Linked DNA regions of Nothobranchius furzeri. The protein of the gene in region 1 interacts with the protein of each later gene in a pairwise test. Links are inferred from orthologs where the notes say so. Each region holds a gene or a part of one and is shown in the gene's direction. Other genes may lie near its edges.

Region 1 (6,482 bases):
AGTATTTGCAACCCAAGCTGCACAATTTGCATAGCTTATTCAGTGTGAAAAAGAGGAAACCAGCAAAGCTCAGCTGCTGGACTGTGATGGATTTAGTTCTGTGGATAGTAACTATTTTTACATTTTCTAACTTGTATAATTACTGTTGTTTTCTTATTTAAAATTTAGAAATTAGTTTCAAAGAGACAATCCTAACAATTTACAATCTGTCACCTTTGAATTATTATATGGGTATGATAGGAAATACACAATCTACCTGAATTTAAGAATGGTTATAATAACCGAGAGAAAACAACAAACGAGTCTGCTGATGATCAAAGTGTAACTCACATGGGCTGACATCCCTGTAACGGTTTCGAGTCTTGTTTTCAGGCAGTTTGGCATCATTGCATGCGCACTCGCTGGACTGCTGGCGAATCTCCTGAGACAAAATAAAATTTACCAAATAAATTTTAGCAGATTTAGGTTTCACACACTGTGAAAGTGGATCTGAGTGCATGTAGGCCTTACTTCCTAAATTTAATTCTTTAGAAAAACAGAAGAAAAAAAGAGTCTAGACATCACACTATTAACACTGTTAATGCAGGTAAACATGTACACACACTTAAAATTATCATAATAAAGTAGTTACTCATGAGTAGTGATTAAACAGCATTTTAAAACGTGATTAACGTTTTAATGGACACTTGATAAAGGTTTATTAAAGTCAGAACAGATCCGGGCCACTCCTGGGTCCTAGCGAGTGTTGCAGGTATTATACCCGGACAGACACATCAGAACAAGGCTGTACACACCCAGAAAAGTCCCGGTGACTAATAAAAACATTGATTATTATTAATACCTTATATATCTGCTGACTCGTTGTGAGCAGGCCTAAAATGACAGCTTCACCTACGGTTCGTGTCTCCACCTTGATGATCAGCCGATAGTTCCTACCTGGTAAATGGCGCTCCACCTCTCGTTCTCATCGATTTCCAAGAACTCGGCTTCCATTGCTTCCAGTTCAGCTGCCACTCTTTCTTTACGCCCAGCCCAAAACGAAGAACCACAGCTTCCCGGTAATTAAAGAATTAGTAGTGAATCGGTTTCCGGTAGTAGCTGCCCAATCTTCGGCCGCTGTTAGCTCGCATTCAGTGCGGCTGCTTAGATCGCCATCTCGGCCTACTCTTAACGGAAACACGCCGCTAGCTCCTCCTACACGGTGTAGCTGTCGTCCTTGGGTGGCTAAAAAGAGCACAATGTGTTTTGTTTTGTTTTAATTTGCTGCTGTGAGATATCTGTGTAGGATTCACAGCACTTCTTCAAGTCTGGAAAGTAAGTCTGTTGACACAGAATCGTCATCTCACCATTTCTGAAACAGCAGCGACCAACAGGCGAGGACGCGCGGGAGGCATCATATTTCTGGGAAAAAAACGCGTCTCGCTCTTTGGGGAGCGCGCACGCACACTCACGCACTGTGTACGTCATCGCCCCGGCTGCCGGTGAATTTGGCAAGCTGTTTTAACATTTAATATAATTACATTTAAAAAGTAATTTGAACGTCAGTGTAAATATTTCTGTCAAAATGACAATCTGAATTATAAAATCAAAACCAATGATAACCAAAACTGTCACAATATTAAAATTGTGTCTCAAGTTTTCCATAACTGAGACTTTGTCAGGGAAAACAAACTTTTGAAGCAAATTATGTCAGCTTTCCATTAATTTATATTAGGTTATCCCCTTCAGATGTGGCAAACATATCTGTCCATGTCTTTGTCTAGTTCATATTTCCACTGCACAAGTGAGTTGACATTTGAGTTCATCTTTTTAAATGGCACTTTGGTCACAAATAGCATTTTACTTCTACACTGTGCATAGAAATGAGTAACATGTCATAACATTTGACATTGTTTTATTAAATTGTTCTGCATTTCTACTGCATTACTGTTCTTTTTAACACAGCAAGTGTTATTTTACCTTGTTTTTGCATCAGGTAACAACATCGAGTAACAACATCAGGTAATAACATCAAGTAACAACATCAAGTAACTACACCATATAACAACATCCGGTAACAACATCGGGTAACAACATCAGGTAACAACATTAAGTAACAACATCAAATAATAACATCATGTAACAACATCTGGTAACAACATAATGTAACATCATCATGTAACAACATCTGGTAACAACATCAGGTAACATCATCATGTAACAATATCAAGTAACAACATCAGGTAACAACATAATGTAACATCATCATGTAACAACATCAAGTAACAACATCAGGTAACAACATAATGTAACATCATCAGGTAACAACATCAAATAACATCACGTAACATCATGTAACATCATCAGGTACCAGCATCAGGTAACATCAGGTGACATTAAGTAACAACATTATACAACATCTTGTAACAACATCAGGTAACAACATTATGTACTATCATCATGCAATAACATCAGGTACCAACATCAAGTAACATCATGTAACAAAATCAAGTAACAACATCATGTCTGAACATCAGGTAACAACGTCATGTAACAACATATAGTCATGTAACAACATATACTACAACAGCAACAACAACCACAGACTAAAGGCTATTCATTTTACTACGAACAAGTGAATTCTGGATTTTTGTTTGAAAGTTCGTGTCCAACTATTATATGATACATCTGCTTGCCAACTATGTTGTTGGTGGCGCTACTGTGACCCACTGCAGTTTAGTCAACGTTAAATTGTTGGTGTTCAAAGATCGTTCTGGGACATAATATGAGATAATTTTGATATTTTGAACAGACCCGTCCCCGCGGAGGCCGTGTGTTGGTGTGACCTGACGGAGGTCATGATGGATTAGGGCGGTTTGAACTGAGACTTTGGTGCTGCTACAGTTAGTTAGCAAAACAACTTAGCTAGACGTTTTGACTCTGCCCTGCAGGTATAATGCAAATTCTTGCCAAGTTCTTGTGTGTGTGTCGCTTCTTGTTTTGTCTCCCTCTGGCCTACAGGCCGCTTTTGTAGCTGCTGTTTTCTGAAGTTGTGTGGCGTTGGCGTTAGCCGTCAGCTGTTGTTCAGTGCTGCTTTTAGCTCATGTGTAGCTATAGTTATTGCCTCCCAGTGGTGGAAAAAGTGTTAGGATCTTTTCACGGTAAGTTTCATCACCACGATCAAATAAAAATCCTGGTTCTAACTAAATGTACTTGTAGTTTCAAACATGGGTTTTTGTTTGACAAATACGTTTGTTTTATTCTTTTTTTTTTTGTCTGGTTTTAATCAACATATCAGCTTTTAAATACCTAAGGATGGATAATACCTGTTTGTGGACTCTTCCACTGACAGATGTGACATTATTTGATGTCTTTCCTTGTTTTTTTCTTCCAAAACAAAACAACAAACCAATACACACACATCTAATGATTTCTACAGATTCATCAAAAATGTTTTTTCAGTAGTCATGATGGTTCCTGAATAATCTTTAACTAATGAGCCAATGCTAAAGTTTTTATTATTATTATTAATCCAATAATCCGGTGCTTCCTGTCTCTGTTCCTGTTCCCAGATGGCATTGTGGTCTGCAAGAATTCCGTTTATTTGTCTTGATGTATTTATTTTAGGTTCCTGTGGGAGTTTGAGATCTATGACGGATCCTCCAAACAGCATGGCTCCCAAAGACATCATGACAAATTCCCATGCTAAATCCATCCTCAATGCAATGAATTCACTCCGCAAGAGTAACACACTCTGCGACATCACTCTGAGGGTGGACAACGCGGATTTTCCTGCTCACCGGATCGTCTTGGCTGCTTGCAGCGACTACTTTTGTGCCATGTTCACCAGTGAGGTAGAACTTTCTTTTCAGGACTAAAATGTACAAAACAGTTTTTTTTTTAAATATTCACAATTTGGGGGCATTTCCCCTGTTTGGGTTAACTATTACTTGTAACTTAAATGGATGTGTGTGGATTTTATACTGGATGTACAACAAATTTTTCAAATCATTTGATGGGAAATAAAAAGAAAACCTAAATTTATTTTAGGAAGAGGTTCTGTTAAGTACAGTTGTATTGTAGGAACACATGAGTTCATCCCAACATTTGAGACTTTATTTAATATTTACATAATATTAGTTTTACTTCCAACATGCTTCATAAGTAAGAGATGCTGCAGAACAGCACCCTCAGCATCCATGTGTTATTCTGACATGAGATCTTTCAAATCCAACAGATCTTTTTACTTAGTGAGTAAATAACAGAAGTCTACATTTTACCGTTGTGTGTGAGCCAAACAAAACAAAACTTCGGACGTTTGGAAGCCGCACAATGACAGGCCTACAAATATGGTTTCATTTGCAGGTCTTTTAATAATGGTTTATTTTGTTATTTAATGCTTTCACTGGGGATAAAGCTTGTTTTGTTGCTATAACAGGCTGAAATATGTAGACATTTTGACCTGGAACAGCTTGCTCCAATGTGTTAAGACAGTTATTTCTAACTCACAACCAGAGAGGGCTACTTCATCAGAAATCAGGTCAGTCTTGCTTGCAACTGATTCAAAAGTAAACAGCACATCAATAAGTTTTAATCATCCAAGAGTCACAGCAATGCTACTAAATGAAGAAAACGGGCGTAACACAGGAATTTCTCCCATTTTCATCGTATTCATCTTATCTGGAGAAAACAAAGCTTACGTTCTTTAGATAATAAGTTGTTGTCATCATTAGAAAATGAGCACAGCACTTTTTCAGATAACTGAACAGTCGACTCTTGATCTGAAGGAAATCCCATCAGACCTAAAAATAGCTGCTATCTGCTTCCATGCTAAGTGTTTAACTTTTCATGAAGCTGCATTTGCAACCATTGCATCTAACTGAATGAAAACACTGTTTGCTGCTCCATTTATAAACGTTTTTACCAGCTGATGTTAATAGATTCTGTTTTACTTGGATCCATCTCTTAGTTAACAAGATACTTTAATTATTCTGCTCCAACCTGGAGGGAGTGTTTCACCTTTATACGGTTGAGAACAATGACATCGGTCTTAGAGGAGCTGATTCTCATCCCAGCCCTCGGCCCCCAGCTGTGAAGCATGCTAGTGCACGCTAAAGATCATAGCCTGAAGATGCTAACAGAACCACATCATCTGCTGTCACCTAAAGCAGAGATGAGACCCAAACCACTCGACTGCGATGTGAGCTTCCGTTCATGAAGATTGCTGACAGGATCAGACACCAGTCCTGGTGGAGTCTAGCTACTCAGGCAGCGAGTCTTTATCATGCTGCATCATCAGAGATCCTGCTGCAGGGTGTCATTCAGGACGTGCCTTTTATTGGCAGGTTTGATAACTTGTTTTCAGAGCTGTCAGCTTGTGGGTGGATTGTTCAGACTAACACTGGACCTAAAAATCCCTCCTAGACACATTTGAACATACTAACTGTTGCAGGATGGATCTCTCCTCAGAGACAGTGTTTGTTTAACGGAAACCCTTTTGCCCCTCTAAATGCCGATATAATTACAGGGCATAAATATCCTTGTAAGGGAACAAAATCAGAAAAATGCATCTGGAGTTTTTTTTCTCTCTTTTCTACCTTAGAGCAGGGACTCCCTAAGTGTGGTGCGCGAGCTGCCGCTAGGGGGTGCGCGAGGTGAAAAGTGTAATGGCTGCGGAGCTCAGAGAAGTCTGTCATATGTCACCATTAGCGTAGCCAGAAACTCCTTTGTGGGTGGGCCCAATAAATGTAATTGGAAAACAAGTATATTTTGCTTGTGTGTGTGTGTGTGTCCTCCGCATGTGCCCTAGCTTCATAATAATGCGCCGAGTTTCAGCGCTCTGGCTTGCGCACGCTGTCAACAGCAGGATATGTTCAGTATTTGATCATTTTTAACGGTGTTGGAGGAATCTGAAGGTGGTGAGTCATTCTGGCAGATTGTAATTAACACCTGTCTCATGCAGGTGTTCTGAAGTTGTAAACCTCACACACACACAGAACATTGTAGATGTAACAGAATAAATCAAGAAATGATTCCCATCTGAGCATTTTAGCATTATTATATTATTATATTAGCACACTGACTGTGGGACAGCATTCTAAATGTGTCAGGCTGTTAACAGCACGCTGAAGGTCTGAAGTTCAGAGTGCGTCTGTCAGAGGTCAGACGCGTTCCAGCGGAACCACGGCTCACGGGTGCACATGTGAGCACATCTGGGCTGGGCAGAAGTAATTTTACAACATTGGTTTGAATAGCACCAATAACGAGACGCGGTGACTGGAGCGGCGCATGGAGCTGTGCCGCACGCGCGCGCACACACACACACACACACACACTGATTCAACAAGCGCACGCTGCGCTGTGCCGTCAGACTGAACGCAGAAATGAGCGCTGCCACTTCCGTGATAAAAAAAACTTTTAAGAGGTTTTATAACAACATTTTTCATTCAAGGTCATATTAGCTTCCATTTTGGGATGACGTATTAAAGTCGAGTCCGCTCCAG
Region 2 (6,007 bases), on another chromosome or scaffold:
TTCTTTTTTCTTTTTTACATGTGTTCTCTGTGAAAATGCTGGAGTGCTCATAAATCTAAATGACGGATTGATTTCATTTCTAGTTTTACTTTAATGTCACTCCGTCTGCTTTCCTTACACTGACCAGGTGAGCCCATCCGGCCCATCGACCCGGCTGCATGGGTGTCCCACACCGCCGCTATGACCGGGGTTTACCCTGCTTACGGGATGAGCCCTTCCATGAGCACCGTCACCTCCACCAGCTCCTCCATTAGCAGCTCTATCCCCGAGACTGAACGTGAGTCATGTCGTCCCCCTGCAGCTGCCTGTTGTGGCTTGTTATTGAGGCACTGTTATTCAAATCAACTGTCATCGCTCGCTCCTCGGTAGTTTAAGCACATTTTCTTATTTGTTGTCATTTGTTTGTTTATCTGACTGTTTGCACTGCTGTGAAAGGTGCACCAACTAAACGTTTTCACGATCAGTCTTTTATTAATACTCCGATTCTCCTCAGACATGTTTGTTAGTGTGGCCTCGCCCTTAAACCACATTCCTGTGACTCGTCTCTGTTCCATTTGGGAGCCTCACGGCTTCCATCTGCTGGATAACTCCCGGTCTAAGCGGAGCCATAACTCACAAGTTTAATCTTCTCTGTAATCTTTGGAAACGACTGGGATGTTTTAGCTTCATTTGTCGAGAAAAATGTTTCCTTCCTTCATTTCTATGTTCCTGAATATTTGGGTTAAATAGAATCACACTTGACTTGATAAGACCTGTAAAAATCATTCTCGTTGTTTTGTCATGAATCTGGTTCATTTTTGTGGGTTATATTTCACATGCGGCTGCAGAAAAGTAAAACTAGCTTCAGCCGTCATAAGATGCACAGTTGGGTTTTGTTTCAGTCAGTGTAAACCGTGCAGCCACTTGTGTGTAAAACTACAGAAAATGCATTATTACTGATCTCTGTGCAGCATTTGGATTCGTGTAATAGATTTATTATTTGTGCATGTGCAAAATGTATTTTCACAACCCCGGTGCAGTGAAACCCTGGCATGCTTCCTGTTGCTTTTGGCACTTTGTTACAGGGGTGTGGACTCCCAGCTGGGAATCACCGTTGTGGGGAGGTTTAATATTCCATGGTCTGGCTGTTTTAAAGCTGCTGCATTTTCTGTGAAAACGAGCAAAGTTTTGGTCCGGTCCAAGTGCTTTTCATGGACAAGGCTAAGCTATGTCTCACATTTTTGGTGAAACAAAATAAGTCAGATATCTTTTTAGGCAAATTCCGAACACATCCGCATTTTTTAGTAAGTAAAATCTCAGACCTCTAAAGGAGAACAAGGCAGTTTTGGCTTGCTTTTAGCACCCTCTAGTGTCCAATTGTAGAACCAAAAGCAAAACCTATCTCCTCGCTGTGTGTTGGGTTAGAGTCTTTTTTACACCTTAATCTAATAAAAGCTGAAACATCTCCCTAGCCTGTTAGTGTCTACAGGAGTGATTCATCACTAAATTAAACAAATCAGCTGTGCTCATGATCAGTGGAAGAAGGACAATCTGCATGTTTCCCTAATTGCTCTACGTGACAGTTGCAAATCTTACCAGGAGGCAGTTAGATCTGTTCCATTCTCACTTCCTTAAACTCAAATAACCCTAGAGTACTTTATACCGCAATTAACTCAGTTTTGAAAGTGATTGATCACCATTTGGTGCAGGCTTCAGCTAAAATGTGTGATGAGTTCTTTGACTTTTTTATGGGGAAAGCCCTTCTGCGATACTATCAGAGGTTTGATAGCATTTCAACCAATTAGTTTAGATGACTTGATCAAGATTGTTGGGGAGGCTAAGCCGAGCGGCTTGCCAGGTGACGTGATGCCTGCGCGCCTCTTTAACCCTCCCACCGTCTTTATGGGTGACCCCGCGAGGAAAGTTGACCATTGAGCAGGATTGATGGTTTATCCCTTGAGGCCCACGTGGCAGGGGTGAGGCGGTGCTCATTCCTCACCCCTGCCACATGGACCCAAGGGATGAGCCATCAACCCTGCTCAATGGTCAGCTTTCCTCATGGGGTCACACCCAGTAGGACAGTGGGAGGGTTAAAGAAGTCTTTCCAGTAGTCACCCCTCTAATATTGCACATAATTAACATGAGCCTAAGCTCTGGCGTAGTCTCTGGTGATTTTAAAAAGGCGGTTGTTCAACCTTTGCTCAAAAAGCCTGGACTGGATGCTTCACTGTCTGCAAACTACAGGCCCATTTCTAAACTTCCATTCTTAAGTAAGGCACTAGAGAAATGTGTTTACCACCAGCTCTTGGTTTTTATGGATGAGAATGGCATTTTTGAGGCTTTCCAGTCTGGCTTCAGAGCTCTACACAGCACTGAGACTGCACTGGATAGAGTGCTCAATGACATTTATCTAGCTACTGATAGCGGTAATTCTGTGTTGTTGCTTCTGTTGGACCTCACGGCAGCCTTTGACACGATGGACCATGAAGCGCTGCTTCACCGTCTCCATTATGTCGGGATTTCTGGGTTAGCCCTGGAGTGGTTCAGATCATACCTGACAAATAGAAAGATGTGTGTAAGGATGGGAAGTTATTCCTCAAAGTACTCTGATTTACCCTGGGGGGTATACCACAGGGCTTGATATTGGGACCTTTGTTGTTTTCTACTTACATTCTGCACTTAGGTGACATCTGTAGTGAGCTTGGAGTTCACTTCCACCTTTATGCTGACGATGGTCAGCTGTACCTGCCTCTGAACACGTCAAGTGGTCTCTCTATTTCTATTCTTACGAACTGTTTGAGGGAGATCAAGGCCTGGATGAGTGGAAATTTTCTGAGCTTAAATGATCAGAAAACAGAGGCTATATTGTTTGCTCCAAGCAGACATTGTGACTCTTCCCTAACTGACTGTGGGTCATTTAATGGCCAGCTGAGTGCATCAGTGACTAATCTTGGTGTTAAACTAGATAGCGCCCTTAGTTTTGATACCCACATCAATGGAGTGCTCTCCTCCTCCTTTTTCCACCTTCGTCGGCTGACAAAGATCAAACCTTTCTTGTCACGACATGATCTTGAGACGGTAGCCCATGCTTTTATTACGGTGTGATTGGACTACTGTAACAAGGGCTCAATAGCCAGGTTGCAAATAGTGCAGAATGCTGCTGCCAGGTTTTGAGGGCAGGCGCAAGTATGACCCCATTACTCCTGTCCTGGCTGCGCTTCATTGGCTGCCCGTTGATGTAAGGATTCGTTTTAAGTTACTTTTGCTGGTTTTTAAAACGTCAGATGGTTAGGCCCCTCCTTACTTGGTGTCACTGCTTCAACCGTACACCCTTGCACGGTCACTCTGCTCGGAGAACCTCATGCTCCTCTCGGTCCCAAGGTCACGCCTAAAGACGCGTGGTGATAGGGCCTTTGCTGTGGCAGGTCCTAAGCGTTGGAACGAGCTTCCTCTTAGCATAAGGGCCTCCACCTCTGTGACGGTTTTTAAGGCAAGGCTAAAAACCTACTTTTATGATCTGTCTTTTAATCTTTCTAACTAGTTTTTATTGTTTGACTTAAAGTGATCCCACACATTCACTGTGTTGTTTGTCTGTATCGTGTGATCCAATGTTTTTATTTTCTGGACCTAATGTTTTATGTTTTTACTTGGTCTGTGTAGCACCTTGGTGGCATGTTTTTGCCTGTAAGGCGCGATTTATAAATAAAGTTGAGTTGAGCAAAACATGCAGGAAACATTCTAGAACCAGACTAAGTCCCAACAGAGCAGCCCGCCAGTCTGAAGTTGCAAGTGGAATATTCTGGCCACAGGTGGTGATAGAGGCCTTTCACTAATAGAATAAAATAGACTTTATTGATCCCACACTGGGGACATTCTCTTGCTACAGCAACACCAACACTTAAGAGAATAATTTGAAGAAAAATAATAACAAATGTACATGCACATACAGATAAGCTGTAAGCTATTATTGTAACCTTTGACCACTAAAAAACCATGAACTTGGCCCTTCTTATACAAAGCATCTGTGTTGTTGGATCAGTTCAAATTGCTGTTGACTTTGTAAAGGGTCATACTGGCTCAAGAAAATGATTTAAAATTATGAAAAAGTTGCAAAGTATCCCTTTAAAACTACATATTTGTGTGTCCTCGTCTGTCTTCTAGGGTTCGATGACTTCCACCTCTCCATCCACAGCGACATGGCAACGGTTGCTAAGGCCATGGCCTGTCCTGAGTCGGGCCTGGAGGTGCGGGACAGGATGTGGCTGAAGATAACCATCGCTAATGCCTTTATTGGTATGTTTATAAGACCACCCTTTTGGACTCTGTCACAACACGTGAATTATTATTCTAAAATACAAACCAGTGTTAAATCCAAGTGTTGGTTTTAAAAGACGGTGAGTGATGGAGACTGCTTAACAGTGAGAGAAGCTCATTCCAAAGCACAGAAGACGCATGCTTTTGCAGTAGTAGTAATTACATTACATGCAACGAGAGTCGCTGCTCTGTTGAAGCGTTTGGGCGGCTGGTGGGACGTGCGATGTTCTGACATATTTTTTCAGTGTTTGTTGTTCATCACAGGTTTTATAACGTCATGTAACAGCTAGCAGTCAAATGTCAGAAAATAAATTCTCTATTCTGCCTCCTCAGGTTCTGATGTGGTGGACTGGCTCTTCCACCACGTGGAAGGGTTCTCAGATCGCCGGGAAGCACGAAAATACGCCAGCAACCTGCTGAAAGTCGGCTACATTCGACACACAGTCAACAAGATCACCTTTTCTGAACAGTGCTACTATGTGTTTGGAGACCTCTGTGGCAGTGAGTGGACTTTGAAATGTAGTTTTTTTTATGTACGAACTAAATGTGGTCAATCTAAAGGTCATAATCTAATTTATGTGTTTGTTTTCTTCAGATATGACCCACCTGTCCCTACATGACCATGACGGCTCAAGTGGGGGTGCCTCAGACCAGGACACTGTCCCCCCGCTGCCCCATCCTGGAGCAGCTCCTTGGCCAATGGCACTGCCGTATCAGTTTCCTATTCCACATCCCTATGACCTGCCACAGCCGTTTGGTGGTCCGGGCGCTGGCAGCACAGGAAGCCAGCACAGTGGTGAGTCTGGCTTCAGACTATTGTGTAAACTCAGGAAAGCTATGTTTACCCAACGAACAGTTAGATTATTATCTGTTTATTTTATCCTCACTAAAGTTGTCTAATAAGCAAATGCAAATAATGATACTTTATTGTCTTAACGCACAAGAGGGTAATGCTGCTGCTGGAGGCGGCAGTGAGTCGTGTTCTCAGGAGCAAACCTGAAAAACGTTCTCTAAGTTCTGCTGTTTTATCCAGTAAACAGAACAGCGTGTGCCACATTTTTTCTTTAACAGTCGGACTCTGGAGCCTTTCCCAGCACATAGCCAACATTTTTATTGGTTTCTTCATTTCACTTGAATAGCTTAACCCTAAAGCTGCAGCCCCGACAGATAGCTGCAAAAGTGTACTTCAAAATGGAGTTCAGTTCAGTCGGTAAGGGGGAAAGGCTTCTTCCACAACCCCAAGCTGCTGCTTTTAAAAGCTAGGCTTGTGTGTATTTAGTGTGTGTGAGGGGAAACACAGTCTGCTTATTCTGCTGAGTTATTTACTGACCAACAACAGCTGGACCCACTAACACACTATCTCGTTTGTGCTGTCTTCATTTTTGTGGATGTTGACTATCTTGTGCAAAATTTAGTGGAAAATAAATTACAATCTAATCTAAACCATTTAAACGGCATAAGAGTGCTCGATTGTGTTTGATGGTGGCTTTGTGATTTATAAATGGTTATTTTTATGCTTTAAGACCAACTTTAGGTTTAGGTGTTCATATCAGATCATCAGTTTTAACTGGATCTCACGTTAACAATAGCCTCTTCTGATTTTCCTAACAGGAAGCAGTGGTTCTAACTGCAGCAAGAACGATGGCAGGAAATCTGGTGGCAGCGGCAGCGAGTCGGAGATCAGGAGCCACCAAGCTCCAAGTGAGCGCTCGGT
Region 3 (6,298 bases), on another chromosome or scaffold:
GAGGTCCTGCAAGACGAGCAGCTCAGCGATGTGGAGAACAACGTTGCTCTAGAGCGAGCGCCGTGCTGTCCCCTCCCCCAGCATCGCAACCAGGAGCCTGACGTCTGGGAAGAGCTGGATCGCAACCGCAACAGAGTCAGGACGGCCGCCTGGAAGGTACACTCCCTCTGTAGAGTTTGATTGAGAAAATGGCTTCTGGGGTTGAAGTCATTAGACTCAAAACGTTCTTGCTTCCACAGACGGGAACAGAGGACGATCACTGCAACAACCAGGGTAATCATGGACACCAGAGTCCTTATGCAGGACCAAGTCTGGGCTCTCCTGTCAAACTGCACTCAGAGGTGGCCCCTGGAGATCGTGATGGGCCTTTAATGAGGAAGCTCCGCAATATCCATAGTTTGGAGCTAGAGAGGAGGCTGGGCCTGGATTCTAAGCCCAGCTCAGAGCGTTTCCCGGATGCCTGGTATGTTTGTCCAACCTTCAGCGTATGCGCATGAACACCTTGATTCCTCCTTGGAGTTTTCCATTGTTGATTGTTCCATCTGTTTTCTCCAGTTCAGGGAAACAACAGTTTGGCCCCCAGCATCAGGAGAAGGAGGCTGGTGTTACCCCAGGAACTCAGGGTCAAGCTGTGCCTGGAGAGCAATCAGACAGGGTCTGGCACTATGATGAGGAGTTCCGGTCTGGAGATGCTTCTCCAAAGCCAGCATCACCAGGGTCTTTTGAGCAGGGAGCGGGGGCAGCTAGCAGCGGGGGCTTCGTGGCCCTTAATTTGAGCTCTGGGAGGCAGGACGTTGACTCAAGGGAGTGGGTAATGGTGGAGCGGCCCAGCGGCTCACCTGGAGCCAAAGCTCCAACCAGCCCTTCAGAGGAGGATGAGGAGCCTGAAGTGCTACAGCCAGAGGAAGACACACCTGGATGGGAAAAGGGTTCCCCAAGCCCGGGTTCTGGGAAAGCTAAGCAGGAAAGCATGGCGTCCTCTAAGGGAAGTGCAAAAATGGACAAATTAGAGCTCAGTGTGGGTCCTGTAGGTGCTCTGCCACCTATCACTCCAACCAGCCCAGCTGAAGCTCTGGCTGAGGGAATACTTACTCAGGTAAGCTGCACGTGTTGAAGACCATCCCACAACATGGCAAACATAATGACTGTAGTCAGCATTTTATAAAGATAAAAAGCTGCACAGAGTCAGAGTTCTAGATCTAGAACTTCAATGCTTTGATCATAAACAATCCGAGTTCCACCAGCTGCATCTTGCTGTAGTTTGAAGGTAAATGTTACTGCTTTGTGTTTGCCTGCTTCTTCACTAGTTGTTAGCACAATGAAATGACACAACCTAAAGGCTTTTCAGTTCAATTACAACATGGGAAAAGAGAGCTTTTGGCTTTAAAGTCCAGCTTCATTTGTGTTAGAAGTTATGCATAGTTCCTTTGCAGACATTTGTGTTTATTTTATTTCACGTCACTACTTGATTTCAAAATCAGATTTTGGTTTGCTGAGCTTACGTTGCTCCTTTGCTCTTTTTTTTTTAAGTATTCTCGCTTGTCCAGTTCAAGGTTTCTGATCAATCTATAGATTTAGTCACTTTTAGCACTAATTGTCCCCCATCACATTCTTCAATAAATAAAAGGAGCCTTCCCAGACATCCAAGATCTCCATGTACCATCACAATTCTAGCAAGAGCAACACAGTTTTTTATTCACAGTTCCTCCAACTCCATTTTAGCACACCCTCACCGGTCTCACAACCCCTCCTCTCTCTTTCTCCCACTTCTTCTCCTACCCTTCTCCTAGTTCCCCACCTCTCCTCCATCTCTGCCTGAGGAGGTCGTGGTACGGACGTCCAGCCCTATCCCTCTGCGCTCTCCCAGTCCTCACACCCTCCTCACCACCCTGTCGGACCCACTGCACCAGCGCCAGCCTGCAGGCTTGAGGCGCAGCCAGTCGGCCGACCACCAGCAGCAGCGGGAACGCCCGTCCCTTTCTCCACCACCCAACCCTTCCCCAGGCACTTGCTCGCCCGGCCGCAGGAAACTGCCGGCCATCCCTGCTGGTGCTGCCAACACAAAGTTCCCCTCAGTCATTCGCATCACTCGCGCCCAGCTTCAGCAGGTGATGAGTTGAAAGCAATCCCACGAAATGAAACCTGCATTAAGCTTCTTCTTTTCTTTTTTTTTAGTTGCTTTTCTTGCTTTCCTGGTTTAGCTCTTTTGTTTGGTTGTTGCGTTGCTGTCAGGCAGCTCTCTCCCAAAACCATGAAGTACATTGTGCAGGCCAGACAGAGCATGGGTCAGACGTGTCCTTGTGTTCCTGTCATGTGATTAGGGGTGTGTCTTTTGTCTGATTGTGGCATGTGTATTTGGAATGTCCAGTCATGACTACAGGTTGCATGGTCTCTTTTGTTTCAGATCGTCTTTGTCCTCTCTATCTTCCTCTTCCTCTCTCTCTCCCTGTATTTGTTCCTCACCCTCTCTTCGCTGAAGCCCCCTGCGAAGTTGCGTGATCGTTTCCTGTCCTACCCGCTGGTTTAGTACTCACAGCTTGACTGACACTGCCATAGCACTTGTGTGTTTTGGTCTGATAATGGTAGCTATGGTTACTGCATGCTGTCGCCAAACTAATCACCATTTATTACCACATACAATCAAATTCCTCTCTGTTTACACATCTGCATCTGGCTCTTGCTGCTGATCTACAGCACAACTCCACATGCTGTGGTCTCCCAGCAACAGACCTTTTAATTCTAGGAATTTTACTCCCAGATTTAGTGTTGGTTTTGTTGGACTAACATCCGCTTGTCTTTCTCTTCCTGTCCACCTCTCCTTTCCTACAGCTGACGGCTCAGCGTCCCTCTGGGCTGTCCTCTCAATCAGCATCAGACAGCGCTCCACAGTGCCTCCTGCTGGAGAGGCGTGGTGAAGCTGAAACTGTGGCTCAACAGATCAAAGAGCACACAGCAGACACCAGTTCCCCCCAGGACCATGTGCCCACCCGCCCGGGGACACCAACCGACCCCCTGGCTGAGACTCTAGTTAACAGAGACAGCCACACCAAAGCTCAAAGCCCTGTGCCAAGCCGCGCATCATCACCACGCTCTCCCCGTTCAGTGCACTCGCTTCCTCTACGCTCACCCTCCTCTCCACACTCTCCCCGCAGCCCCGTGCTCACCAGTGGTCGTCTCTCATCTCCCGTTAACAGCCAAACTAACACCGCTCTCCAGAAGCTAAAAGACCCGGACAATGATTCTAGCCCCTCTCCATGTGCCACAGAGCCTCAGATGAAGGAGGTAAAGGGTGGAGAAGGGAATCTGGCCCCACAGCAGACTGGTGACCCAGCTCCAAGCTCTTCTCCCATTGCTTCCCGTAAAGATCCCAGCCGGAGACAAAGCCGGATTCCCGTTCTTGAGCCCTCCTGCCTGCTGGAGCTCCCTCCTCCAGGCTCTGCCAAGGAGAAACTCTTGCAGAAAAGAGCTAGCCACCATGGCTCAGTTCCTTCTCCCACTGCCTCTCCCTCCCTCTCTGATAGGCGAGGCCCCATTGTTGCCTCTCTCATTAGAGATCCACCGTCCTCCACTTCTGACCGCTCACAGGATGAGGACTCTCTCATAGGCTCCCGTTCTGACCGCCAGGGAGATGAGGCTCCATCTCTGTCCTCCTCCTCCAGTCCTCTGTCTCGCAAGAGCAGGATCCCTCGACCGGTTCATTCTGCCCCCTCTGCAGAGCAGCTGACGGCCCAGTTCCTGCCACGCCCACCCCCCGGAAAACCCCCGAGTCGTTCCACAGTGGAGGGCAGGTAACACATTACGGCTCAACTCGTCCCTTTTTGGGTTACAGGAATATAGTTCTGTTGAATCCAGTAACCAATCTGCTGTTTGTTTTGCGCACATGTAGGCTCAGGCGTTACCGCATCCGTGCTGGCAGCAACAGTGACTCAGACCTGCTGTCATGCCTCACACAGCTGATGCAAGGCTCCCGCAGCTCCTCCCTTCACCATCGTTCCTCTGTGCAGCACGGCAGCTCCAGGATGGGTGTCTGCAGCCTGGCGAGCTCTCCACATCATCATCACCACCGCAGCTCCAGCGCCTCGCCACGCAGCTCCTCCTCTTTGCAACGCTCCGTCAGCTCCTCGCCCTCCCGCCTCGAGCACCGCGGTGGCGGGGGAGGGATTTGCTTGGGCCGCAGCCACTCACCTCCCAGCTTCTCTGGCTCCCCTCCTCCCCGCCGTTTCTACCTCCACCACCAGGAGACGTGCTGCAGCCGACAGGCTCGTACAGGTCCCCTCCACCTGTCCAGGGGAAAGGGCTGCAGCCGAGAGGGCAAGTGCTCCAGCAAGCTGAGCAGATAGCTGCCCACCAGGCTGTGGTGCAGCAGCAGAGGAGAGGGAGGTTCCAGAGATGATAGAATAGACAACAGAAAAGATAAGGCCCGAGTCTTCCTGTTCTAGTAGAGAAATAATTAGGTTCCCTTCGCTGGCAGAAACTCTTCCTAATATTCTCTTTGTTTTTCATTTGCACAAAGGGTTTTATTTTTTTTATTTATTATTATTATTAATTCAGCTGATTAAAGTTGTGCAAACACAAAATTTAAAGTAAAACAAGCTCCAAATTTGAATTTGAGTTTTATTCACTTTCTCGTGAAAAAAAAAAAAGAATTTCATTTCTTCACAGTTTGTATGAGGATGCTGGATAAACAAACTGAGCCTTATGGGTAAAATTAGACACTTCAGCCATTATAATAATTTATCAGGCAGGCAATGTGGCCTTTTCGACATCCTCATGGAATATCTCTCACTGTGTAGACCAGGGGTGTCAAACATACGGCCCGCGGGCCGGATCCGGCCCGCAAGCGGGTTAAATCCGGCCCACGGGATGGTTGTGTAAACTTTATTTTCATACTTTACAATGTAGAGTGAAAATAAACTTATCATTGTGAGCAAGTTTCCTCTGTAATGAGTATAAATAAAACAAAGCTGTGCTCAAGGCTCACACAAGAACTTGAATCACATCCTGAAGTTGGCTGCCACTCAGGATGTGACTTCTAATATTGATGTGCTGGTGAAAGCTAAAAGATGTAAAGTAAAATGAGTCAAATATACTTTAAGTGATGCATGAAACTGATCTAGCCATGTGATCTGTAAGCTCTTTGAATCACTAAGGAATGTTTTTTTTTAATTTATAGATTTTTTATTTTTTTAAATTTCAAGTACACTTCAGGAGTTGTACTTGTACTATTTTGGATACACTGTCCTCAGGCTCCAGCTTTGTTTTATATTGATTGTATTAAAACAAAGAAAACAATCTGAAGTTGTTTTTAATTTACCGGTCCGGCCCACTTGGGACTAGATTTCCCTCAATGTGGCCCCTGAGCTAAAATGAGTTTGACACCTCCGGTGTAGACACAAGAAAAAATGAGTAAAAGTGATTTTTTTTCATGTTGCAGGCAGAAATATTACACCTAAAAAGCAACTGATTGCACCATTGGACACATAAACCCATAGTAATCTTAATTTTTTAGCCCTACTATAAATGCACTTGGGAATTTCCGATTCCAGCTCAGTGAAATAATGTTCACAATGTTGACTACATTATCTCCTCTCATTTAGGAGGGTGCGAGCAGGGTATGGGGTTTTTATCTCTGCTAAATTAATCGTTTTTTAAAGGTAATTATTTAGATGCTTTGTTTGCTATGCTTCTGGCTCCTGCTTCTTCAGTGTGTGATCTGGCGTCCCTCAGAGCAGCTTTCAGTGTTTAATTAAAGGGAGTGCTCAGTGTGACCCTTCGTACAATCAGTCATGTTGAGTGCGTGATGGCGCGCACCGTTTTGTGCCTACTGTGATGCTGTGAGCGAATCTTGAAGTCACACTGAATGACGTGAATATTATTATTATTATTATTGGATCCTGTTGGTGTTGCAGACTGAAACATGATGCGTTTGTCTCATCGTGTGCCTTTACACTTGGCCAGCTTGAGGGTTCACTCTGGTGTTAAAAATAGAAAAAATTACAGCAAAAGAGCCAAAAACAGACATCTGCCAGCAGTTAAATGATAACCCTTTTATTGTAAATAAGGTAGCAAGTGGTTGTTTTTCTTTTTGAGCAGAATTGAGTAAAGTTAAAGTGGAGACACTTGTTGGGTTTCAGCTCTCCTGTGTACACACAGGTCACGTTATCAAACTCTTACCTGACTAAAAACAGGTTCGCATTTATTTTATCCAGAACTAAAAGGCTTTCTTTGTGCGTGTTAATTCCTTTGTTTGTTAGCGAAATATCTCATGAGCAATAGAACAGATTCTAATGAAACGTCC
Region 4 (6,007 bases), on another chromosome or scaffold:
TCCTCGTCGCCGTGTGGAGGAAGGTAAGACACTCCTCATCACATAAAAACAAACAGATCAAAATTATTCCTTCTTCCTCATGGCTCCTTGTTGTCCTCTTCACCCGTGCTAACAGAAACCACGCTATGAGATCCGATGGAAGGTGATTGAGTCCGTGAGTGTGGACGGACATGAGTACATCTACGTGGATCCCATCCACCTGCCCTACGACCTGGCCTGGGAGATGCCCAGAGACAACCTGGTCCTGGGTGAGTGTGATGTACCAGGAGTTGGAAAGACCTGTTTGTGTTTATTTTAATGTTAAGAAAACAGAAAATAAACAAATCACAAAGGCACAAAGTTAAAGAAAATGTTTAGTTGTTTTTTTTTTACATTTTAACCAAAAATAATGCTTAAACTTTATTTCCTACATGTGAAAAACTGATTCACGCCATTTTTAATTAAAAATAACTTTGTTTTAAATGATAATAGAAAGATACGATCTTTGAAAATGTTATAAAAACAGGATCTGTTTTTGCAAATGAACTCTTCATTTTTATAAAGTGGAAGGAAAATGACCATCCTCTGAATTCTTGTTGCTTTTACCCAGCTTCCACACTTGTTACAGCTGTGGTTTATTTAAAGAAAAGGCCTATTGATGCTGACTAATCTGATCATAGCTATGGCAGTTACAGGATATTTATGACCCATGATCAGCAGAAATAATCTCTTCTTAGAAGCTGCCTTTTTTATTTTTTTTATTATTCAATACAAAATGACCTTACAATTATTATTATTATTATTATTATTATTATTATTATTATTATTATTATTATTATTATTATTATTATTATTATTATTATTATTATTATACCGCAGTGTGCTCTACCATGTTATTGGGTAAAGGGTCGATGGTTCCTATAATCGATCAGTTGTGGTTTATTTCTGAGTGTCTGACTCTGAGCAGGCTCTTATCCGTCACCCAGATGAGGACAAACTGTTTAAACTGGATCCATCCCCATGAGGCTTTTGTACTGCGAGTGGTTGGTTGTCTGCACACGGAATCCCTAATGAATACTTTTTAAACTGGACTCAGTCCCAGTTTAGCTAAAAGCTCCTTTTCATGCGTTTTGTTATTTTCTCTCATACAAACTGTCTCGAAGCTCTTGACATATTTATTTTCTGAATCTGCCAAAGCAAGTTTTTATATTAGTGTCCTTCAAAATAATAAGTCGAATCCCTCTCACTTATGTTCTAATGGGGAGAAGTGTTTGCTTCTTTCTCAGATTTCACACCGTGTCCCACTGAGGCCCTCTTTGTGTTTCAGGTCGAACTCTTGGATCAGGAGCTTTTGGCAGGGTGGTCGAGGCTACTGCATACGGTCTCACACATTCCCAGTCCAGCACAAAGGTGGCTGTGAAAATGCTGAAATGTAAGAAACACAATGTACAATAAAAGCTTCACATGCAAGATATCAGGCAACAGCAGCCTCCTGCACGCTCTCTGACACTGTCTCCCAGCAGCAGCCTGCTGAGCTTCAGCTGGTCTGACAGCCTGATTCAAGTTTCTTTTGACGTTTTCTGGCAGGAACACCGTTTTTCTCCTGCTCGCTGTACTCGTGTTGCTGTTCTCACATCACGTTCAGGTTAACACGTGTTCTTTCCTCTGCCCTCGTCCAGCTACAGCCAGGAGGAGTGAGACTCAGGCTCTGATGTCAGAGCTGAAGATCATGAGTCACCTCGGTCCTCACCTCAACATCGTCAACCTGCTGGGGGCGTGCACCAAACACGGTGGGCATCACACGAAGCTTTCCCACCAACACACACACACACACACACACACACACACACACACACACACACACACACACACACACACACACACACACACACACACGTGGTTCACGTAAAAATATATATTAAAAATTACAGCAAAGATTACTCTGTAGCAATTATTTCTGCATTTTCCTGTTTGTTCAGTAGGTTGAAATGATAAATATTTCTGTTACATTTGGATGAAAAATCCACTAAATTTGATTGATAACTGGTTAAAGATGACTTTTCCGGCACATTTTCTTCTCATCTGATTAAACCGCATTGATCGTATTTGCACTAAGTGAATAATTGTGTAAACAAGAAAGTTATGATTTCTTGTAAGAAATGGAAACAACCGTGTTACAGAGATGAAATTATAAAAATAATAGAAATGTTGATGTTTTAACACTGGACACCATGTTAACACAGCCAATGTGAACTCACTGATTTATGTTTCATTATACTAACGGTAAGCACAGCACTCCTAAGTGAAATGTTACAGCCAAATCAAATGTTTTGGCTCATTAATTTGTAGCTTAGGAAGAAAGATTGTTGGATCCGATTAGCAGGGCACATCTTGCCCTCCATAAAGTAGCTGATGGAATTACTGAACCCTTTTCATACATTAATGATCAGCTCCTGTTGAGACCCCAACCAGACTTTCCCTAATTCTATAACATCCTCACCTCTGCCAAGAAGGAACAATCATTCCTTCATAACTCATTCCATGAGACCGTTACTTGCTAACCGTTAGCATTAGCAACTCCCCAACACAGCAGAACTCCTTCAGGCTTGTGTTTTTTACGGAGATTAAACATAACTTTGCAAAGCGAGCAGAGTCAGTGGAAGAGTTGCATTGCTGTTAGCCAATCAGAGGTGAGATATTTCAATATCATGAATAATAATGAGTAAGACTCCAAATATTACTGTTTTCTGCCCCCCTTTCTTCTGGCTCTGCTTCCTGAAACAGGAGTGCCAGAACTTTTTTCCACAGATAAGAACTCACAAGGCAGTTCTCCCTGTAGGGGGTAGAGTTAATGATTTTTTGTCAGAAAACTATATTAAAAATAAAATTTCCATATGTGCATGTTATGTTTTTAAAGTGACAGTGTGTATTTCCCCTTTTGATAGAGGGCAGTACATACCTAAATTACTGCAAGCAAGCAGTATTTTTGTGTTTGAGTAAGACCTTACCAACGGATGGCCATTAGGGTCAAAAATCCCTGGGAGCTCAACCTCCAGCAAAATAACAAGAACATCAAACTCCCTTTCATCACTGGCAACAATGAAGAGTTAACCCTTTCAGGCTCAAAATACGTTTTGATAAAAGGACAAACAACTAAGTCCCTCGGGGGTACTTCTGAGTTTAAAAATGCTCATTAAATACATATGTGGAGTAACCAGGTAGGTAGGTTTTAACGTTGCAAATCTGCAACGCCTGCCTCCAGAGGGTTAAGGTGTAAAACAACAATGTTTATGAATGGTGAAAGATTTGTAACCGCTTGATACAAATCAGTAAATGCATTTTGTCCTCACAGGCTCCCGTAGAAGGAAACATGGCACCTATTATGGTGTCGCCCAGAGACTTAGACCCGCTCTCGTGTATTTTAGACCAGATTTTTATGATTATATGTTACAAAGCCGCCAATATTTTTCAACAGTCGGGCGTCATTTAATTCATTTTCAACAACATTTTGAGGGATATTTCCAGAGATTAACAGTATTTGCAACATTTAGCTTGTCTTTAAATCCTTATCCTTCATGTTTGATTTAGGCCCCCTTTACCTGATTACCGAGTACTGTCGCTATGGTGACCTGGTGGACTACCTGCACAGGAACAAGCACACCTTCTTGCAGTACTACGCTGAAAAGAACCAGGAGGATGGTTGCCTCATATCAAGAGGAAGCACCCCTCTCAGTCAGAGAAAAGGGTGAGATGAGTGAGGAAAATGCATTCAGAGCTGCACAAAGGAACATTTTATAGAAAATGGAGGACTTTTTCCGAGAAATCTTTGCCTTTGTTTTCAAAAAGTTCTGTTTAACTGATTGTTACAGATGCTTCATGTGATCAGCAACTACAAAAGGCTCGTTTGGATCTGGGTCAGTCGGGTGTTTTTTGATTATTATTTTCACACTTTAACGTATTTTTGCAGCTATGTGTCCTTTGGAAGTGAGAGTGATGGAGGATACATGGACATGAGCAAAGACGAGCCTTTGGTCTACGTGCCCATGCAGGAACAATTAGACTCCATCAAATATGCGGACATCCAGCCATCCCCGTACGAATCGCCCTACCAGCAGGACTTCTATCAGCAACAAGGTTCGACTTGACGCTGTCAGAGAAATCCGTTAGGATTATTGGCATGTGAGGATTTTGCAGATTTGCAAAATGAGGAATAATGAGAAAAACCAAACATTAGATCGAAAAGTGTGAAATGATGATGTGATTTAGCACAGTAACCATTTAGCTTTGTCTGACTAAACCTACTAATTCTGCACACTAAGAGAAAACAATTGGGAATGAAAACGGATGGTTTCAATTCAGAGATTTGCTAATAAAATATTAATAGTTTTGTTAGCTAGGACATCAAATGAGTTCCCTGAACAAAAGCAAAGTAAACCACGTGTCAGAGTCAATGAAAACCAGTGGGTTTCCAGCTGAAATGTAAGATTCAGTGTGAGCTGCTCAGATCAGGGCCCAACATCCAAATGTTTCTTTCACTTCTATGTTTTTAAGTCTGGACCTTGAGATGTCAGAGAGCTGTAGAGATCAGTGGAGTGTAAAGGGTCTGACAAGTGGAATGGTGCCGTGTGTTTACGACTATTTAAATAAACCAATAAAATCATAAATTGGAAGCTAAACTGCCACAAAAGACGAGGTCAGGTCAGGTCAGACCAAGAGCAGCACGGAGACATCTAGTAATCAAATCAGACGCATTAGTAGACCTAATTACTGTCTGAATCTGATCTAATAAACTTTAATTAGATGCCCTTTATTTGCAAAAATTAGCTAATCTAAAAATGCAGAATGGAAAATTGCACCAAGATTTCTAGCAATAGCTTTGAGAAGAAAAGAATATGAAAAATCTTCCGTATTTATTTTACTCTTGTTCACTGAACTTTTTCACAGAATGTGTTGCTTTATAATAATTTTATTTTGGAACTGTCTTTGAATTTCTCCTCTTTGGGTCCTGGTTCAGGTGGAACCAGACTGGACCTGGTGATCAGTGACTCTCCCAGCCTCTCCTATGATGACCTCCTGGGCTTCAGCTACCAGGTGGCAAAGGGAATGGAGTTCCTGGCCTCCAAGAATGTAAGAACTTTAAGACAACGCTCCAGATGTGTAGCTACCTCACACAGTATCCAGTAGGAATTATAAATCTTTCTTTTGTTTATCAGGTTTAATTAACTGGATATTTCCTTGACAGTGTGTTCATCGAGATCTGGCTGCCAGGAATGTTTTGATCTGTGAAGGAAAGCTGGTGAAGATTTGTGACTTTGGCCTGGCCAGAGACATCATGCATGACTCCAACTACATCTCCAAAGGCAGCGTGAGTAATAAATGATGTTATTCTGTATCTGGATAAAAAGACTCAGGGTCAAACAGGACCTAAAGGACTGTTTGGTGTGTTTCTCTCCTGATTCAGACCTTCCTGCCTCTGAAGTGGATGGCACCAGAGAGTATTTTCCATAATTTGTACACCACCCTCAGCGACGTGTGGTCATACGGCATTCTGCTTTGGGAAATCTTCACACTGGGTCAGTCTGAGCAGCACACCGAAGCAGAAAAGTCAGACACATCTGCAAATAAAAGGCATAAGCAGAGGTGATGTAGGTGATCTGCCCTCTCTAACCGAGTTTTACCTGCTCGTCTCCTGCACAAACACGCGTTTACGTCTATAAACAAACAAAGGTAGGGCAGCGATGAGTTTTTAACTCTACGTGTCTGACAGTAAGTCCACTCCAGTTTGTTTGGTCAACAGCCTTTTAGTCTCAGTCAAGCTTTGAAATCAGCATTTCCTTGCTCAGGGTATTGTAAGATTTTTTTATACTCTTCCCATTAATTTCCAAAGCTACCGTGAAAACAAAGAGGAGCGTTAACAGGGTGAAAAACACACTCACAATCTCCTCTCTGTGAACGACAAAGATTCTCTGTGCTCCTGCATCTGAAAGTCACTTTCATCGGACGTTCTGGGTCCGCAGTTTTTTTCCAC

What was found.
Region 2: the proteins of kelch-like protein 12 (region 1) and segment polarity protein dishevelled homolog DVL-3 interact in binary tests that used the Homo sapiens proteins (3 or more experiments, as listed by UniProt). The two-hybrid records come from large-scale screens. The link is inferred for Nothobranchius furzeri from reciprocal best matches to the Homo sapiens genes KLHL12 and DVL3.
Region 3: the proteins of kelch-like protein 12 (region 1) and ttbk2a interact in binary tests that used the Homo sapiens proteins (3 or more experiments, as listed by UniProt). The two-hybrid records come from large-scale screens. The link is inferred for Nothobranchius furzeri from reciprocal best matches to the Homo sapiens genes KLHL12 and TTBK2.
Region 4: the proteins of kelch-like protein 12 (region 1) and pdgfrb interact in binary tests that used the Homo sapiens proteins (3 or more experiments, as listed by UniProt). The two-hybrid records come from large-scale screens. The link is inferred for Nothobranchius furzeri from reciprocal best matches to the Homo sapiens genes KLHL12 and PDGFRB.

What each region holds. Positions count from the first base shown.
Region 1 is NC_091755.1:52,044,975-52,051,456, reverse strand, and holds the start of kelch-like protein 12, read left to right. Parts: upstream 1-2,854; 5' UTR 2,855-2,930; exon of another isoform or gene 2,931-3,000; 5' UTR 3,001-3,082; coding exon 3,083-3,140; intron 3,141-3,606; coding exon 3,607-3,833; intron 3,834-6,482. Other genes in the region: ptpn1 (tyrosine-protein phosphatase non-receptor type 1), read right to left, coding at 331-421, 937-993. UniProt on the Homo sapiens protein: Substrate-specific adapter of a BCR (BTB-CUL3-RBX1) E3 ubiquitin ligase complex that acts as a negative regulator of Wnt signaling pathway and ER-Golgi transport.
Region 2 is NC_091751.1:58,279,415-58,285,421, reverse strand, and holds part of segment polarity protein dishevelled homolog DVL-3, read left to right. Parts: intron 1-127; coding exon 128-277; intron 278-4,140; coding exon 4,141-4,272; intron 4,273-4,626; coding exon 4,627-4,794; intron 4,795-4,888; coding exon 4,889-5,089; intron 5,090-5,904; coding exon 5,905-6,007. UniProt on the Homo sapiens protein: Involved in the signal transduction pathway mediated by multiple Wnt genes.
Region 3 is NC_091758.1:23,508,730-23,515,027, reverse strand, and holds the end of ttbk2a (tau-tubulin kinase 2), read left to right. Parts: coding exon 1-156; intron 157-239; coding exon 240-463; intron 464-555; coding exon 556-1,096; intron 1,097-1,790; coding exon 1,791-2,108; intron 2,109-2,829; coding exon 2,830-3,788; intron 3,789-3,886; coding exon 3,887-4,340; 3' UTR 4,341-4,488; downstream 4,489-6,298.
Region 4 is NC_091741.1:96,091,114-96,097,120, reverse strand, and holds part of pdgfrb (platelet-derived growth factor receptor beta), read left to right. Parts: coding exon 1-23; intron 24-115; coding exon 116-248; intron 249-1,306; coding exon 1,307-1,411; intron 1,412-1,658; coding exon 1,659-1,769; intron 1,770-3,567; coding exon 3,568-3,724; intron 3,725-3,946; coding exon 3,947-4,113; intron 4,114-4,993; coding exon 4,994-5,106; intron 5,107-5,221; coding exon 5,222-5,344; intron 5,345-5,440; coding exon 5,441-5,552; intron 5,553-6,007. UniProt on the Homo sapiens protein: Tyrosine-protein kinase that acts as a cell-surface receptor for homodimeric PDGFB and PDGFD and for heterodimers formed by PDGFA and PDGFB, and plays an essential role in the regulation of embryonic development, cell proliferation, survival, differentiation, chemotaxis and migration.